Linked DNA regions of Caenorhabditis elegans. The protein of the gene in region 1 purifies or fractionates together with the protein of each later gene. This does not show direct contact. Each region holds a gene or a part of one and is shown in the gene's direction. Other genes may lie near its edges. The genes, in order: elpc-4, fcp-1, C17F4.7 and eak-7.

Evidence for each region.
Region 2: the proteins of elpc-4 (region 1) and fcp-1 fractionate together in Caenorhabditis elegans (co-fractionation; one large-scale study listed by BioGRID). This does not show direct contact.
Region 3: the proteins of elpc-4 (region 1) and C17F4.7 fractionate together in Caenorhabditis elegans (co-fractionation; one large-scale study listed by BioGRID). This does not show direct contact.
Region 4: the proteins of elpc-4 (region 1) and eak-7 fractionate together in Caenorhabditis elegans (co-fractionation; one large-scale study listed by BioGRID). This does not show direct contact.

The regions. Positions count from the first base shown.
Region 1 is NC_003282.8:8,014,942-8,018,723, forward strand, and holds elpc-4 (Elongator complex protein 4), read left to right. Parts: upstream 1-2,052; 5' UTR 2,053-2,062; coding exon 2,063-2,198; intron 2,199-2,273; coding exon 2,274-2,684; intron 2,685-2,734; coding exon 2,735-3,192; 3' UTR 3,193-3,280; downstream 3,281-3,782. Other genes in the region: C26B2.8 (C3H1-type domain-containing protein), read left to right, coding at 37-98, 142-277, 328-456, 503-696; C26B2.7 (Cytochrome c oxidase assembly protein COX20, mitochondrial), read left to right, coding at 1,339-1,439, 1,490-1,592, 1,647-1,850; dnc-4 (Dynactin subunit 4), read right to left, coding at 3,362-3,578, 3,623-3,782.
Region 2 is NC_003279.8:9,004,012-9,010,516, reverse strand, and holds fcp-1 (RNA polymerase II subunit A C-terminal domain phosphatase), read left to right. Parts: upstream 1-1,808; coding exon 1,809-2,006; intron 2,007-2,051; coding exon 2,052-2,228; intron 2,229-2,579; coding exon 2,580-2,708; intron 2,709-3,179; coding exon 3,180-3,422; intron 3,423-3,837; coding exon 3,838-4,125; intron 4,126-4,214; coding exon 4,215-4,402; intron 4,403-4,446; coding exon 4,447-4,918; intron 4,919-4,962; coding exon 4,963-5,091; intron 5,092-5,359; coding exon 5,360-5,515; 3' UTR 5,516-6,004; downstream 6,005-6,505. Other genes in the region: rbpl-1 (E3 ubiquitin-protein ligase RBBP6), read left to right, coding at 1-450, 571-996, 1,066-1,131, 1,177-1,257. UniProt on the Caenorhabditis elegans protein: During the late stages of oogenesis, dephosphorylates 'Ser-5' of the heptad repeats YSPTSPS in the C-terminal domain of the largest RNA polymerase II subunit ama-1.
Region 3 is NC_003280.10:3,244,529-3,247,800, reverse strand, and holds C17F4.7 (MD-2-related lipid-recognition domain-containing protein), read left to right. Parts: upstream 1-1,785; 5' UTR 1,786-1,815; coding exon 1,816-2,277; intron 2,278-2,533; coding exon 2,534-2,632; 3' UTR 2,633-2,714; downstream 2,715-3,272. Other genes in the region: fbxc-50 (F-box domain-containing protein), read left to right, coding at 1-593, 1,212-1,428.
Region 4 is NC_003282.8:12,563,255-12,568,015, reverse strand, and holds eak-7 (MTOR-associated protein MEAK7), read left to right. Parts: upstream 1-2,032; 5' UTR 2,033-2,034; coding exon 2,035-2,160; intron 2,161-2,215; coding exon 2,216-2,395; intron 2,396-2,442; coding exon 2,443-2,869; intron 2,870-3,313; coding exon 3,314-3,459; intron 3,460-3,540; coding exon 3,541-3,663; intron 3,664-3,723; coding exon 3,724-3,921; 3' UTR 3,922-4,241; downstream 4,242-4,761. Other genes in the region: Protein let-99, read right to left, coding at 1-65, 116-160; hsb-1 (Heat shock factor-binding protein 1), read left to right, coding at 804-884, 939-1,100.

The DNA.
Region 1 (3,782 bases):
CTGAGATAAAAGAATAAGGACATAATATTATTACAGCATTCCGAGAGAATCGAATTGTCCCTCGTCTGTTGCCAGTTGCTCCGGCATATGAACTAATTGTATGTTAAATGATGAATATAATACTAAACAACTTGATTGTAGGCAACCTTTAGCGACGAACAAATATCGATGGGTCAACTTTTCGACGCTGATATACTGGACAAACTTGCAGATCCTCCAGTCATGTCAGCAGGAGTTGAACTTCAAGACGAGAAGCTCTATACAATTATACTTGCAGGTTTTTTTGCTACAGTTAATTACAGGTATAATAAGCATTGTTATTGACAGATGCTACCTCAAAGGCTGTCACTTGGCTGGTTGCAAATATTGCGGCATTTGATGGACAGCTTGAGATTCATAGAAGAACAAAGTCTGCTGTGTCTTATCAACCCCCAGATTCTACTGATAGACCAGTTGGTAAGCTCGAATATATTTTTTCGTAATCTTAAACACAAAATTTAAGGAATGCACACCATGATTCTTGCGCTCTATGAGCAGAATGACACGTGGACACAGAAAGATTTGGCTAGAATTGCAATGGATGATTTCAACTTTACAGAATGGCTTGAAGAATATGCCCATGTACTTCCTGCACAGGCACTTGCAGCAACATTTTATGGATATTCTACTAAAAAGGACGATAGAAAACGAATCTAATTTATAATAACTTAAGATTCCTATTTATGTACAAATTTTAATATATAAAAAGAATGAAACATACGATAAAAAGTTACTAAAAAATAATTAAAATGAGAAAAAAAAACAATGTTAAAATTAGCGGCGAAAAGCTAGATTATTTACGATAAACAACATGCGCGCCCGTCATTTCGGAGTCTCGTAGTTTCAACAATCTTTTTTTTTGAGGCCCCACGAAAAGGGGAGCAGAACGAAAAGGGGATCTGAAAAAAGGGGATCTGCGAAAAGGGGAGATACGAAAAGGGGAGATACGAAAAGGGGAGCAACGAAAAGGGGATCTGACACTGTGCCAAACGCTATTTTTCTCGAAGAAAACGATACAACGATGCTCCGATGTTACGCGTCGCGTGTTGTTAAGCGTATCTTCTAGAAGAAAATTTCAAAAATCAACGTGCGTTGCGTGAGAAAAATTGCGTTTTGTGCGTTTGGCACAGTGCCAGCTCCCCTTTTCGTTGCTCCCCTTTTCGTATCTCCCCTTTTCGTATCTCCCCTTTTCGCAGATCCCCTTTTTGCAGATCCCCTTTTCGTTCTGCTCCCCTTTTCGTGGGGCCTCTTTTTTGAGGAAATTAATTTTATAAAATTATTTTGAATTTCCTTTTTAAGATGCTTCGCATTATCCAACGTATTCCTACTGAACGATATCTCTGTACTCTTCCTGTGAAAAATCCAAAGCTTCACAGAACTAAAGATCAGAGAGATATTACGTAAGATTATGCTTTTTTAAACCTTCAAGTTTTTAATCAACAATTTTCAGAAACATGGACTTACTTGAAGAACAAATTCGTATTAAAAGCGCAGAAAAAAATCGCGAAATGACAATACAAGGACAGAAAGTGAAATGGGCTTATCGATCAGAGGTAAATTATATATACTGAAGAATATTCTAAAAACTGATTTAAATTGATTTCCAGCTTGTCGGCCGACATGACCTCGATAAAAATCATCGTAATACATGGATGGCTTACCTAATCATTATTCTTGTCGGATTCGGTGCGTTTGTAACAGTGAAATCTCAGGTGGTAATGGGTCGACGCCAGGAAATGGATGCTCGCGAAGCTCTCAGAAAGGAGCTGCAATTGAGTGGAGACGATCGAAAAAAGATTGGAGTAGTCTGATAATAATTCATATTGTTTTATTGCGGGTTTCTTTATATATTTTTTAGTTAGAACCCTATTTTTGTTTTTAGAAATAATAATTAGTTTGTTTAAATCTCATTTTTCTTTTCTGTTTCTCAAATTACATTATGGTTTGGTAATAACCTTGCAAATATTTTTATCGTAATTTCCTGGTCAACATCAATATTTCATATTTTTAAAGTAATTTCAGAATGTTGAACGTTGGTGATAGTGTTCAAATTGCCGGATGTTCAACAAAGAAACGCTTACTGGAAACTTCAAGTGGTTGCGATTCATTTGACACACTCATTGGAGGAGCTTTAGTTAATTCAAGTATTGTTCTCATAGGTAATTTATTAATTTAGTTGCTACCTGTTCATTAAATACCCGCTAACCTAAAATTAAAATCACATTCATTTTCAGACGAGTATCGTTCTCGTTGCTATGGATCTTATCTCATTCGTTCATTCCTCGCAGAAGGACTTCATCATGGTCATCGATGCTTCATTGCGGATCCCACGGAAGATCCCAAAGAGATCAATCTCATACCATCTAGAAGAACATCCACGGATATGCAAAATCAAGAAATTCCAAATTCTCTGCCGGCAGAAAATGAAAACTCGATGAAAATTGCGTGGCGGTATGGAAATGTAAAACAAGTTTCCTCTTCCCTTGGACCATTAAGCAACGAAAATCAGTATGACTTTACGAAGCATGTAGAGAATCCGAATGTTGACGTGTATGCGGAGAAAGTTTTTACGCTAAAAGGGATTTACGAGACGCTCTGCCAAATTGTAAAAGAAAATGAAGCTCACACAAAATCCGGCGGAAGAGGTGAGATTTTTATTGAATTATTATACATAAACTAATGAATTTTACTTCAGGTGGACCGAAAAAGAATCTTCTTCGAGTGGTTCTGAAGAATATCGATATGGAAATTTGTGAAGATTACAAGTTCCTTGGCCGATTCCTGTGCTGTCTCCGATCTTTAGCTCGTTCGAGTTACATGATTGTATACATCACGGCTAACTCCTTCAGAGTTCCGAAACCAACTTGGCGTATACTGGAATCCGCAGCTGATACACATATTCAACTGATGCCGTTTGATGAAAATGAGAAGAAAATGTTCAAACATCTTGGCACTGCTCATGGATACTTCCATTTGAAGAGTTTGCCCCGATTGATGTCCGTTGGAACACACACTCCACCGATTCTCGATCTTATTTTTGAAGCAAGTTCCAGAAAAGGTTTCCAAATTCGAGTGATGCATCTTCCACCTGCATTTGATGAGCCAGCTCCAGGTCATCAAAATACTCCATCTTGCCAGAATATTGATTTTTGATTTTCTCGATCATGTTTATTTGTTGTTGGGATGTTTGAATGTTGAATTTTAAAGTATTTAATTTAAAGCATAAAAACGTCTTCTAAATATTTAACAAAGCTTATAAATTATGTTTAAGAAAAGACACGCTGTGGTAGAGAAAGGATAGAAACAAATATACATGAAATGATTATCTGAGATCTACTTTTAAATTAGCAGAGAGAATTGGATCAGGACACGTTTCTTCTGGTTTCAATATTTTGTCACTAGCGGAGGAGAGACGGAACGATCCATCCTGACAATATGTAATCAAAAGATTGAGACATGGAGAAGAGAGATCCATCTCGGTGGGAATAACATCCAGTCGAAGGCCAACTCGGTTGTGCTGTCGGAACACGATGACGTCACTGGAATACCATTTTTAGTCAATTAAAAACAAGAAAAAACTAACCTTTGGTCAGCATGAACTCCAGGAGCAGCAGTATCCGATGCTCGCGATGATGGAAGAAGAAGCTGGATTGGATCACTGGAACATTGAATGAAACCATTTCCAGATTGAGGTGCGATAGTCAAATCCATTGCAGATGATGATAAGTTGGTAATAGAGAGAA
Region 2 (6,505 bases), on another chromosome or scaffold:
GATGAGGAACGAAAACGGAAGAAGCACAAGAAGCACAAAAAAGAGAAAAAGTCAAAGAAGGAGAAGAGAGATGAGGATGAGGATGATCTTGATACCGAAAAGAAAGAAAAAAAGAAGGAAAGAAAGTATCAGGATGATAAAGATGAGGATTCTAATAGAAAAGAGCCAAGATCTCTAGATGATGAGGACAAAGTGGAGTTGGACAAAAATTTTGCTGACAAAAAAGAAAAGAAGAAAGGAAAATGGAATGAGGATGAAGAGGACATCTTCGAGGATAGAAAAGAGGAGCTTCCTAAGGAATCCGATCGGAGAGACAGGAAAGACCGTAGACATGATGATGAGGATGATCGTAAGGAACGTCGGCATGAAAGAGATTCTCAAAAAATTGATGAGCAAGATAGAAAGAAAGAGAGAAAGCGAGATCGAGAGACCGAGGCATATGACAGTGATGTAAGTTTTGGTTTATTCTTATTTTTAGATTAGTTGTTTTAATTGTTGATTGTTTTGAGGAAAAATTTAGCAATCAGAAATCATCTTCCGGGTTTAGGAAAAATGAACAAATTTTTATAGAAATTGCAGGCCCCCAAGACAAAGGTGAAGCGTGAAGACAAGAAGCGTGACGATCGGAAAGATTATGAACGGGACAGGGAACGCAGGAAGGATGACTATGAAAAGGAGAAGAGTAAAAGAAAGGAGAGTGATCGGGATAATGAAAAAGAGAAACAACGCGAGAAGGAAGTGGAAAAGGAACACGAGAAGGATCGCAAAGAGAAGCGGAAAATCGTTGAGAAAGAGTCTGAGAAACCACGAAAATCGGTTCATGAGCGTATGCAGAAAGCTGACTCATCCACTTCTTCAAGCTCTAGAACTACTACTGCTCCATCACTTGAACGAAAACCTGTCTCGTTTACTGTTGCTTCGAGCAAACCAACGACAAACATCAGAGTTCGTCAATACTCGTCCTCATCATCAACCAAGGAACAAGAAGATGAAGAAGTACGTTTTATTCACAAATATTTCACTAAAATTCAATTAATCAAAAAATATATAATTTAAAAATTTTAGCGGTCGAAGCGGGATCGCCGGAAGAAGGACGAAACTGACGTGGAGAGCATTGGGGAAAAGGAGAAGGTAATTTTTGTTGTTTTTGAAGAATTTTAATCTTAGATATTTCAGAAATCTTCGTCTCGAAAAGTTCCAAAGGAGAGTGTAGATGTCAAACACAAGAGTACCAAGATTAAATTTGATCTTTTGTAATCATTTTTGTATCTATATTTGAGTTATTAATTATGTTCCATCCTATTATTCGTTTTTCTCATATTCCCCCCTATTTTTCTAGTTCTTCTTAGAGGGAACCACATCTACTGTGACTTTGATTCTCTTTTTTCACCATTATTTTTTTTTTCTAAAAACGCTTCCATTTTTATTCATTTTTCGTCCCATCTGTGGAATTATTCTGTTTTTTTTTCACTTTTCTTGTTCCTGTTGGAATAAAAATTCCGTTTTATTTTTACTCTATTTTTACCTTTTTTCTTATTTTTATCCCAAAATTTCTCGGTCCTGAATTTGCCGCAAATAATATCAGAATGGCTAATTTTACAGATTCGATTTCAAAAAAAGCGCCGAAATTAACCTTTTGGTAATAAAATCGAAAATTGAAAAAAAAGTTTTGGAGAGAATGCGTACATATGTATTTTAGATGATGAACACAAAATTGTTGAAAAATTTTACTTTTAAATAACATTTAATAATTCAATAACAGTCGAATTTGATATCTTAATTGAAAAGATATAAATATTCTTTTCCAGATGGATATTAAATTTGAAGGAAACGATGCCGAGTGCACAGCTGGCCTGAAAAAGGCCAGTGAAGGAAGTTTTGTATTGAAAGATCACGTTCTGATAGAATTCAAAATCAACGGAAAAGTGGCGGGAAAGATAAAGACACCATGTGAGGGTGTAGTTACTTTTGGAAAAGGTCTTAAACCAGGAATCGTATTGAATAAGGTAAATTGAAATTATTTATTCAATTGAAACTGTTTTCATTTTCAGGGTCAAGTGATTGCTACAGTATCCGAATGTACTCATGCAATTGTTATCAAAGATATGTGTGCAACATGTGGTAAAGATCTACGTGAAAAGGGAGGACGAGCCGGTCAGAGAAAGGAACAATCAACGGCTAATGTATCTATGATTCATCATGTTCCAGAACTTATTGTGTCGGATACGGTTAGCATCATTTTTATTACCCGGATGCGGCGATTTTTTCAATAAAAATACGGTAACCGGTCTCGCAAAACGTTGTGCGCCTTTAAATAGCTAATGCAGAATTTTCATCGTTTTTCGAAAGTTAATTAAAACTTTAAAATAAAGCAAGTTTAAACTATTTTTAAGTAAAGTATACGATTTTGAGAAAAATAGAAAACTTCATGAAAATCCCATAATATTACAGTTCTTTTTAAAGACGAACATATTTTTGCATTTATCAAAAATTGTCGTGTTGAGACCGTGAACCGCATTTTTGGCTCAAAAATTCGCCTACTAGGCAAATAATATTTCGATAAAAAACTTTTTTTTCAGCTAGCAAAAGAGATTGGATCAGCCGATGAAAACAATCTGATCACCAATAGAAAACTCGTATTGCTTGTTGATTTGGATCAGACAATTATTCACACTTCCGACAAACCAATGACTGTGGATACTGAAAATGTAAGAATCAATAGTTTTGACGAAAAAAAAGTTTTTTTTCAGTTTTTCTCAGAGAAAACTGAAAAATTGAAAAAAAATGTTCCGAAAATTAGCAAAAAATTAAAACACAAATTTAACGAATTTTGGTCGTGTCGATGAAAACAAATAATTTCAAACAACCATATAATTTTCTTCTAGAAAAAAAATGGCCAAAATGTAAAGCCATTTTTCGAAAAAAAAAACACTTTTCAGAAAATTAATAAAGATTTCAAAAAAAATTTCTCATCGAGCTTCTATGTAAATGATAAAGTTAGAAAAGCATAATTTTCTTATCGTAATAAGAAAAATCGACAAAAACTTTAAATTATTTTCCGAGAAACCTTTTTTCTAATTTAATTTTGGTACAAAAAAATTGTGTTTTTTGATTTTCTAAAATTATCGAAAAATTGTCACTCTTGATAGGAATACTCATATATTTTCTATAAATTTCAGCACAAAGACATCACCAAATATAACCTTCACTCTCGTGTTTATACCACTAAACTCCGACCACATACAACAGAATTCTTGAATAAAATGTCAAATATGTATGAAATGCACATTGTTACCTATGGACAACGTCAATATGCTCATCGTATTGCTCAGATTCTTGATCCAGATGCTCGACTCTTTGAACAACGCATTTTGTCTCGAGATGAACTATTCTCGGCTCAACACAAGACCAATAATTTGAAGGTATAATTTTTAAAAATTAAAAATAAAAATAATTTCAAACTCCAATGGAGTTTGCCCAAAATTCGCAAAAATCACGAAAAAAGCGAAAAACTAAAAACTATAATTTTAAAGTCATTTAAAAGTTTTTTACAAATTCTTCGTTTTTTTGCTCTTTAATATAAAAAAACGGAAAGTACATTTTTTGTCAAAAAAAAACACCATTTTTTTTAAAGCGAAAAACAAGAAATCTTCAGCCCTGAAAACATGAAACTCGTAGAAAATATTAATCGATCAGAATTGTGATGAATGAAAAATGAGTTTTCATCAATTTTTCGACTGTTAATGAAAATTTCAAATTTTTAAAAAGTGTTACCATGAAATTTGGTTTTTTTTTAACATCATAGAATAAGTGTTAAACACAACAATTTTTATTCAGGCTCTATTCCCATGTGGCGACAATCTTGTAGTGATTATTGATGATCGATCAGATGTCTGGATGTATTCTGAAGCACTTATTCAAATCAAACCTTATCGATTCTTCAAAGAAGTCGGCGACATTAATGCTCCAAAAAACTCAAAAGAACAAATGCCAGTTCAAATTGAAGATGATGCTCATGAGGATAAGGTTCTTGAAGAAATTGAGCGAGTTTTAACGAATATTCATGATAAATATTATGAAAAGCACGATTTAAGAGGATCCGAGGAAGTGTTGCTTGATGTAAAGGTAAATTTTCATTTTAAATATTTAGTTATTGAATTATTATTCTAAGTTGAATATTTAAGTCTTTTGGACTTCTAGAAGTTGATTTTCAGGAAGTGATCAAAGAGGAACGACACAAAGTTCTTGATGGATGTGTCATTGTTTTTTCGGGAATCGTACCAATGGGTGAAAAGCTTGAAAGAACTGATATTTATCGTTTGTGTACTCAATTTGGAGCAGTTATTGTACCAGATGTGACTGATGATGTTACTCATGTTGTTGGAGCAAGATATGGAACACAGTTAGTTTTATCATTTTAGCATTTTAAAATTCTTTTATTTTCAGAAAAGTTTATCAAGCCAATCGTCTCAATAAGTTTGTGGTCACAGTTCAATGGGTATATGCTTGTGTCGAAAAGTGGCTTAAAGCAGATGAAAATCTGTTTCAACTAACAAAAGAAAGTACTCCTCCAGTTGGACGTCCACTTGGATCAAAGTATGTCAATGATTTGGCAAATATGGACACAATTGGGAAAGCCGCGTTAGCTGATATGAATAATGAAGTAGATGAAGCTCTATCGGATGATGAAGACGATGGAGACAATGAGGATGAGGATGATGATGGGAATGATGTTGGAGAAGATAAGGGAGATGAAAATTTAGAAGAGAAACAAGAGAAAAATGAAGAAGAAATGGATGATGTTGAGCAGAATGGATCTGTTGAGAATCAATCAGGAGATGCTTTGGAAAACGAGACAGATTCTACATCAAGGGGACAGAAAAGAAAGCATTGTCCTGAAATGGAGGACGAGGAAGAGGTAAGAAACTTGAAAATAATTTATTCCAATAATATTTATTTCAGGAATCAGATTCTGATAATGAGGATGACGATACCCCTATGTCGTACAAAGCACTTTTGTCAGATTCACGCAAAAAAGGTCGAATTGTTCCAGAAAACGAGGATGATGCAGTATTTGATGTTGATGATGAGGTAAAAAGGGCGGCAAGTATAAAAAATTGAAAATAAAACGGAAAGTTTTGAATTTATAGTGGCTAAAATTAATAGTAGTGAATTTTTTGAAAAAAGTTAAATTTTGGCTTCTTGAGCTTAAAAATATCAATCCAAATCGTTCCAGTGTCTAGAATTTATCGAAAAATACGACATTTTATCGATATTAAACAAAAATTCAAAGAAACACGTGAATCATTATTCCTGCTTGGGAGATCAAAAGTGTTTTGAAAAAAAAAGACTTTTACAGAAAGGCCACGCACCAGCTAATATAGATGAAGAAGAAGATGACGAAGACAATGAAGATGAGGAAGTACCGGAATCTGATGATGACGATGAGTTCGAGGATATGGCTGCATTGATCGAACGTCAGATTAGCGATGCAGTAGATGAAAAAGATCAATGAGTTTTCTGTGAAATCATCATGTGCTATTATTGTTTTCATTTCCTATTATTCTTTCAGTTGTTTCCCATCTTTTACATCTCATAATTATCACCCCCGTTCCCCATTTGATTCGATACTCAATGTTTTCTGTACTATTTACCTCCATTTAAATGGGAATAATCTGACAATTAATGTCGGCTGCTTGATCAGAGTGATTTTCATCAAATCAATCAAAACTTCACTAGAAGCCTGCATTTTTGTCATATATAAACGTTCACGGTTTGGAATATAGATTGCTTTTTATTCACTTATCTTTTGCCTTTTGATTGTAAATTCAAGAAAAGTCTGTCACTATGGAGTTATTCATCTTTCGATTGCTTACTTAAATACCTCTATTTTCATTTTATCGAATTAATTTTTTTTTCTAAATCGCGTCATTGTCTCATTTCTTCTCTCGTTTCACGTTGATCGTTATTATTTTTTTCTGAAAATGAATGAGATTCATTTCTATTTTTCTTGCTGACGCTTTCGCAATGCCGTTTGATTCGGAAGTATGATTTATTTTTTTCGAATTATAGGATTAATGTATAGTATTTGTTACGCGAGACCAAAAAAAGTTTCATGTAACAAATGTAGTACAATGTTTACATTTCCACAAAAATCAATAATTTACAATTTGTATACAATTCAATGTGGTCTTATATTACACAATCAATCGTTTCAACAACACGTTTTGCCGAACTGGATTTTTATCGATCTTTTACTATTTCCTTATTATTAAAAGTTATTAAAAGCTATATATTCGCAAAAAGTTTTGAAAAAAATTGGTAGAGTGATTAGCTATTGAAAAAACTTATTTCATTTCCTTTTAGTGACTAGTTTATTTACCATTGCAGTGAAAGTTTATGAAAAAAGTATTTACTTTTCTCTTTTGAAAAGAAATATTTTCTCGCATTTTTTGTCTATAGAGCATTTTTGCACACACGCGCACTAAGCGCCTTTTTTGTATGT
Region 3 (3,272 bases), on another chromosome or scaffold:
CGGACCGGCCAGCAAATCCGTGAGCCCTCACGTCACTCCATGGAGGATCTCATTTCCCGACTGCTCAGTGGATACCAGGAGCCTCTGAGCATCGGGCTTCTTCTCATCCCCAATTCGGAAGTCTTAAAGTTCCCGGAGTCCCTGAAAGTGAAGGCTCTCTGCTTGACGATCCAATCCAACGTGGCTTCGGTGATGGGCTCGCTGAGCAAGATGCTTGATGAGAAGAGCTTCCCGCTTCGTAGGCTCTATGTGATTGGGCACAAGGATTTTGAGAAATTCGAGAACTTCAGTCACGATGCTTGCAAAAACGCAAAGAAGCTGGTGATCCTGGGACGTTCGGTGCCGGTTTCTTTCCTTTGCAGCCTTCCGAACAAGAGGATTCATTTGGAGAGCGCGGACGACTACACGGTCGACGATTTTATGCGGCTTATCGAGAAATGGGCCGATGGGACTACGGAGAATATCAAAACTGCCGGTAATTTCCACTACAAGTTCACGCTGTCAAATCCGGAGCTGGTGAAGCAAGTGTTCGCGTTGTCTGAGGTGCTTGGCGACGCCGGAAAGAAGGATCCGATCAAATTTTTTGGAAAAGTGTGAGTTTATCGGGTAGTTAGGTAGATTTACGGTTTTTAGTGTGGGTTTACGGGAATAGGTGTAGATTTACGGAGGAATGTGAGGATATAGGTGGTCTGTGTAGATTCACGAAAAGTTGAGTAGATTTACGAAAGCACATGTAGTTTTACGGGAGATTGTGTAGGTTTACGGAAGCTAGTGTAGATTTACAGGAGCCCGTGAAGATTTACGGGGGCTAGTGTAGATTTACGGGGGTTAGTGTGGATTTACGGGGACTGTGTAGATTTACGGATCTACACATAGATTTACGGAAGGAATGAGTGAACTTGCGGTAGGTGGCGTAGATAAACGGGAAGTAGATAGTGTAGATTTACGGAAGACTATGTGGATTTACAAGAGGAATGTGTGAACTTACGGTAGGTGTAGATTTACGGACGCCAGTGTAGATTTACGGAAGGACGTGTAGATTTACGGAAGCAAGTGTAGATTTACGAACCTACGTAAAGATTTACGGATCTTTGTGTAGACTTGCGGATTTTCATGTAGATTTACTTAAATTTCTGCCAAATTGTAAATGTTTTCTTGTAGATTTACGGCGCTTTTTACCTTGTCATTCATTAATTTATCTATTATTTCAGATGCGAAGAGTTCCCCAATGTGATTGTCTACACCGTGAGTGACACCATGGAAATCTACGCGTACTGTGAAAAGAAGAGCCCCGAGAAATGGTTGCTCACCATCACAATCGACCGAGTTGGCCTCAACAAGTTGTACTATATGATTGAAACATTGCTCGACGAGTTTATGGACAAAGTGGAGGGAGTTGGAAAGTCGAAGCATTTGTGTCGTTATTAAATTTTGTATAGAATTTTATTGTGTTTTATAATAGTAATTAAATAAATTGGAATATCTAGATTTTGATAATTTGCTGGAAGCTGGAAATTTCTCTGAAAATAGGCAGTCTACCGGACATCTCAGGTCTTACATAGGTAGTTTGTAATTGGAATCCGGAGATTGCAATTTAATTTTCAATTTCCGTTTTTCATATGGTTTCCAAACTTCAAAAACCAAGCAGCCAATTTTCCTTATCACTACTTCACTAACTGCACTTTTATGGCTCGTTCAGCGTCATCCACATATTAACTATGCGACACAAAATAGTTAAACTGATAAGGGTGGTGTGACTGGTTTCAGCATATAAAACCCCGCTCCAAACTAGGAAACCATTGCACTTTTCTGGCTATGTTATCAGTTCTGTTTCTCCTGCTCGTCGGAGCATTCACCATCGGAGCCAACCCGGTCAACTTTGCAGACTGCCCATTCCCAAATGGTACTGACAAGGCGATTCACTCCTACATGTGCTCCGACAATGAGCAATTTTCAATCACCGATATTCAGACTTTGGACTCTAATCAGAAGCCCTACTACCCGATTGACCCCCGCCATCCGTTTATTCTGAACCTTACCACTTACAATCATGGAGAACAAATTGATGATAATAAGGTGAAAGTGAAAATCAATCAGTACAAGTCAGGATGGACTGGTGGATGCTCTTGGAAGTCGATTCCCACTTTTGGATTGTTGGATGATATTGATGGCTGTGATTTTGCACACAATTGCCCGTTGGAGTCAGGACCGCTGTTTTTGATTTTGCCGTTGGATTTGAGCCAGTTTTCTGTCATCATTGAGCTTCTGGCTGCGCATGTAAGTTACAGTACCCCTACAGTACTCCTACAGTACCCAACCACAATAACTTTAAATGAATCCTTTGGTAATCTAGGAAAACAGTTATCCTACAGTACCCTTACATTATCTGAAAACATAACTCCTACAGTACAGCAGTATGTGCTAGAATTTGAGATGTTCCAGTTTCAAACTAGCGACGTCACAAACTACAAACTACATACACTCCATTGTGATCTCAAAATTTTCTTTAAATTCACTGTTTTCTCATTTTCAGAAGCCCTACGAACTGGAAATCCGCATGTTCAACCACAATCCAGGAAATACAAAGCACGAAGAGATTGCCTGTGTTATGGCACAACTTGAGCTCTCCTAATTTTTTTTTGTACATTTTGATATGCTCGATAATAAATACATATGCGCATGACAATTGAAAATATTACTAAAAAAGTAACTTGTTTCATTATTTTCAAAAATCAAACATTTTTATGGCAGGGTCATAAAAAGGATGTCGGTGATGGAGAACTGCTCATTATCGGAGCAGAGGTCATAAAAATGCGTATATTTAGTATTTGTGATTTTTTAGGAAATTTCAGAAAATTCCAAAAAAAAAACTACAGAATTTTTCAGAAATGTGTAAAGCATTTCAATTTTTTCTATAATTTTTGCAGTCTAGAAATTATTTAACATTAAAAAAAATTAATTTCTGAATTTTTCAACAAATTTTTAATTTGTAGTTTTCCTACACATCTCTTCCAAATTCCCAAAAGTTCAATCCGTGTCACTTTCCAATTTCCCTTTTATCTCAAGATTATCCTGTTCGCTATCACTTCTTCGAGGGGGGGGGGGGGGGGTCAAACTTCTAGTACACTTTTTAGATATTGAAAAAAAAACCAGAAAAACAAAAAACAACTTATTATAAAGTTAATATTACATGTGGGAAATTGCAATAATTTTTTTTTTCAAAAAAATATTAAAATTTGAAGAATTGGCGAGAAACCTAAATTTTTCAAATT
Region 4 (4,761 bases), 4.5 Mb from region 1:
GCCAATCCTCTTCTGTTCGTTTTGAGTGATAAGTTTGAACGAAAATGCCATAGAATTTCGTCGAACTGAAAATCAGAATAAAATTTCAAAAGACAAATGTGAAACATTTTAATACCAGATGCGTCGCCTTGAACTTCTCCGATGAGTAGTCGGCAGACATCACGGCAAGACGGCCTAAAACTTGAATTTTGATGGTTTATTGATAAATTTAAGAACTTCTTAAAAGAAAACGAGATTTCATCACGAAAAAAAGCAAGAATGAGGAAAAATTTCTGGAAACTTCCTAAAAATTGCTGAAACGAGTGAAGTTTTGGCGCCGAAGTTTTGTTTACGGACCAAACACACGAAAACACGACTTGTCACACAACTTATTAGCTACAGTAACCCATTCTGCTTTGAAAATTTCTCTTTTTAATTAAAAATTCCTCGATTCAGATGTTTTTTTTTTCTCAAAGTGTTTCTAATAATTATATTTTCCTCGAAATCCACACTATTTTACATAAAACAAATCATCTTATTCTGCTCTTTTCGCCGTTTACACCATCTGTCCTTCTCCAATGACTCCTTCTCTGCGTCTCTTTCACTCTCTCGCCGCCCTCTTTTTCTCTGTCGTCTCTCACTTCGACGTACTTTCTCTCGTGTTGTTGTTCCCGTACTTTTGTGTGTTCCACTGTTTGTGAGATGACGGCTAGTTGCCTGGTACTGGATTCTCACCAGTTTTAATTGATTTTTCATCAAATTTTCTTTAAAAACTGATTAAACTTTGTGATTTTTATCGTATTTTTACAGATTTTCAGTTCAAAATGTCCGATGAGAAGTCTACCACACCAACCGCTCAACTCGACGCTCCAGCCGATGGAAATATGAATGATTTGACGTCGTTGGTACGTAAATACTTGAAAAAAATTGTCAATTTTCTAAAAAATCCTAAAACTCAGATACAAGGAGTTCTGCAACAGACACAGGATCGATTCCAGCACATGTCGGATCAGATTATTCGGCGAATCGATGATATGACAACGAGAATCGATGATTTGGAGAAGAATATCAACGATTTGCTGCAATCGAACCAAGTTGAACATCCGCCAAGCGCTCAATAAGATTGGTACGGAATGAGAAAAATGGGAAACATTCTCAAAAATTTCGGTCGATGTTTTGACCACTCGTTATTTTTGAAAAACAGTGTTGTTTTTGATGTCGACTTTGAAATTTCAAAAAAAAACAATAATATGGGCCGTGGGACCCAATTAGAAATACAGTAAAAAACGCTCTTTGGCCGAATATTTTATAATTTTCATGTATGAAGTCAATCCTTTTATTCCTTCTTAACTTTAGTTTGAAATATATTTAGATTTCCTAGCGCCTTTCCAATCGATTTACCACGTGGTAATCAGGCCGATTGCACCGTTATTCCAAGACTTTATCATTAAAAATTAGTATAAAAATATAGAACTTCACCTATTAATTTTGGCTGAAAAATTCGCCGAAGAGCTCAAAAATGGTCTGAAAGATGCCAAATTTCCACTAAAAAATCAATTTGTAGAGATTATTAATAACTAATCTCTCTTCAATTTCTATTTTTTCCAGCTCTACACTCTTCCCAAATGAATCATCGTCGCTTCCTTCTTCATCATCATCATAATTCCAATTCGTTTTGTGTGCTTCTCTGCGTCTCTCCTACATACATATACTCTTTTCACGTCTTCTTCTTCTTCTTTTTCTACTGATTATGCACGTGTTGAGAGGATTCATGACTACTATGTTGTGCCTCCTGCTTTTAATCTCTTATTCAATAACTTTTGTTGCATTTTATTACGATTTTCGGAATTATTTTATTTATATGTGAAAACACAAATTTTGCCAAAAATTCAAATTTTTGTGCATTTTTAAAAAAAATTTTCAATATGAAACTATTCATCTTACTTTTTCTTCTTCTTCCCTTGAATTTTTTCTCATACTAAATGTTGATTTCTCACAGTTTTTACTAACTATTTCGCATCCGGATTTTCAGATAAAAAACATATAATTTCAGAAATGGGAGCTCAAAATTCGAAGCGAAAAGATCTAAAAAATATTAACGATGAGGATTATGCACATTTTATGGAAAAACTCAAAAAACACACAGATGGAAAGGACAAAATGACGCGAGACCAGTTTGTGGTGAATTAATTTTTAGAAGGAAAATACATTTTAATATAAAATTTTCAAATTCCAGGCAATGTTCATACCGATTCTGGGTGAATATTCATCACAATTCTACTTTCGTTTGGTAAAAAACGAGCCGCAGGGCGTTTTGCTCGCTAAAACAATCCTAAAATGTATTGATACTGGACTGGGACATTTCGATCAGCTCGCCGATATGCTCAGATTCTGTTTTGGAGATCAAAAAGATCAGGTTTCGAATTTATTAATTTAAAGAAAAACTTCTTTTTTTTTTGTCAGATAATGCGAAATGTTGTGAAAATCTTCTGTGAAGGAAACAAATTCACCCGAGAGGATCAGGTCCGTCTCTACGATTATTTCGAAACAGAAAATACAAAACCAGTGAGCGAACTGGAAAGCTTTTTCTCAATGTGCCCACTGTTCGCCTATTGTGCTTCGTTCATTTTCCAACGACTTTTGGATAAAACTGGAGACTCGAAAATGCCAATTCTCTCGGACAAGACTCATTTAATGGGAAATATCGATCAATTAGTGCTCAACTCGCACCTTCCATTCGATCGACGCAAAAATTGGACACTTTTATATTCAAACATGAAACACGGGCAAAGTTTCTCACAATTGGTTAAATGTATTAATGGAGAAGGTCCTTGTATGATTGTGATCAGATCAATGAAAGGACGACGATTTGGGTTTTTCGCCTCGCAAGGTACACAAGAAATGTTGTGTCGATTTACGCAGCTCGTGTACTCCTCGAGAAGAATTTATACCTTATGATTTGCAGAAGATTTTACAGATTTTACTTTTTTTGCAGATTTTCTAGATTTCAGATCTTTCTTTTTGTAGACTGAAACCGAGAAATTGTAGTTTTACAATAGCAAATACATTTTCAAAAATGCTATAAATTATAGATAAATTGATGATTCCAGTTTTAAATATCAAAAAAATTGACAAACAGTTTCAAAAATTGAACATTTCATCCAAAAACTGTAAAATCTTCCTCCACGAGGAATACACGAACTGCGTAAATCCACACATGGCTGTGTTACAAGTTTCGCAGTAATTCTTCATTTTTTCAATTATGATAAAGCAACGGAATTCTAGCAGATACTATTTGAGTACCAATTTTCTCTAAAAATTGAAAATTTTTTAGGTTTTCTCGCGGGACCCCAATACCGTGGCACGGCCGAGTGTTTCCTCTTCCAGCTGGCTCCGAAAATTGCAACTTTTGATGCGACCGGGCGGACTGAGAATTACGTGTACCTAAACTACCAGCAACAGCAACATCCGAATGGATTGGTGAGTATATCCCGCCATGGATCATTCAGTATCTAGAGAACCAGTTTTACGATTTTTAAGTGTGAAATTTTCAAATTTCAGGGAATTGGTGGAACCGAATCCGTATGGCCGTTGTTTATCCACGAGGAGTTTGGCGGTGGAACGTGCCAAAAGAATTCCAGTTCGTTTGAGCCTTGCCACATTGCCGAAGAGGACGAGTTCAAGGTGAATCGGGACTAAAGCCCTTAAAGCCGAAAAAACGAAACAAAAACATGCATTTTCCAGATCAAAACAATCGAGGCTTGGCGCCCGGGCGACAAACCACAGAAATCATTCGAAGAGCAAATCTTGCTCGAGGAACGATCGCCGGAAAAATCGATAATCGACAAGGATCCGGAGGCTCGTGCGGTGCTCGAGTTGGCCGGAAAATCGATGCATTCGGAAGCGTATCGTGATCCGGCTCCCCTGCTCGATGGTGAATAGGCTCCGGAACCTCTAATCCCCAATTGCCACTTTCTCAGTCTTCTTTGATCCTTTACATCACCTGTAATTCCACTTTCATCAGTTTTTGTATCTCCTGTGCTATTTAAACGCTGCAAGACCCATGTGCGCCTTTAAATGATCACTATATCTTTGAATTCATAATACTTTTCCGCCGCCCGTCCCCATGTCCTGCCGCCGTGAGCTAAACAATGGTTGTTAATATTTCGACAATTTTACATGTAAATTTTCACATCCATACGTTTCTGCAATTTTTCAATCAAAAATTCTAGAAATTTTCAAATAAAAATGAATTTTCGATTTTTTCATCATACCAACTAAAACATAACATTTTTATAAGGCTTCCAATTCAAGATGATGAGCTCATTCTCTAACGCGGATTACAAAAAATCATTCAAACTGCGTCCGTCGATCCGTCTCTTCTCGCGTCGACTCCTCGTGTGATTTGCCGCTTCCAACACCCTAGCAGCGACAGCAGTGCTCCATATTTCACCCGTGAGCCGACGTTTCAGCCGATCCAAGAGTTTATCGAAATGTCCGAACATTTTCACGATATTACGTACGTACGTTTTCAGCTCAGAATTCGCATTTATTTTAAGTTCCGATAGTGAAAAATGGTGACAAAAAATTTAAATTCCTGTCAAAAAGTGGGTGAAAGCCATAATTTTGGAAGATAACCAAACATCTCTTGTCTTTTTCTACGATTCATGTATTTTAATTGAGGATTCCATGTCAGAGTCGCGCGGCGTCGGAGCCTCACGCCGGCCGGCCTTCTTCGTCGCTCCTTCAAAAAATATTTTATATATATACAAAAAATATAAT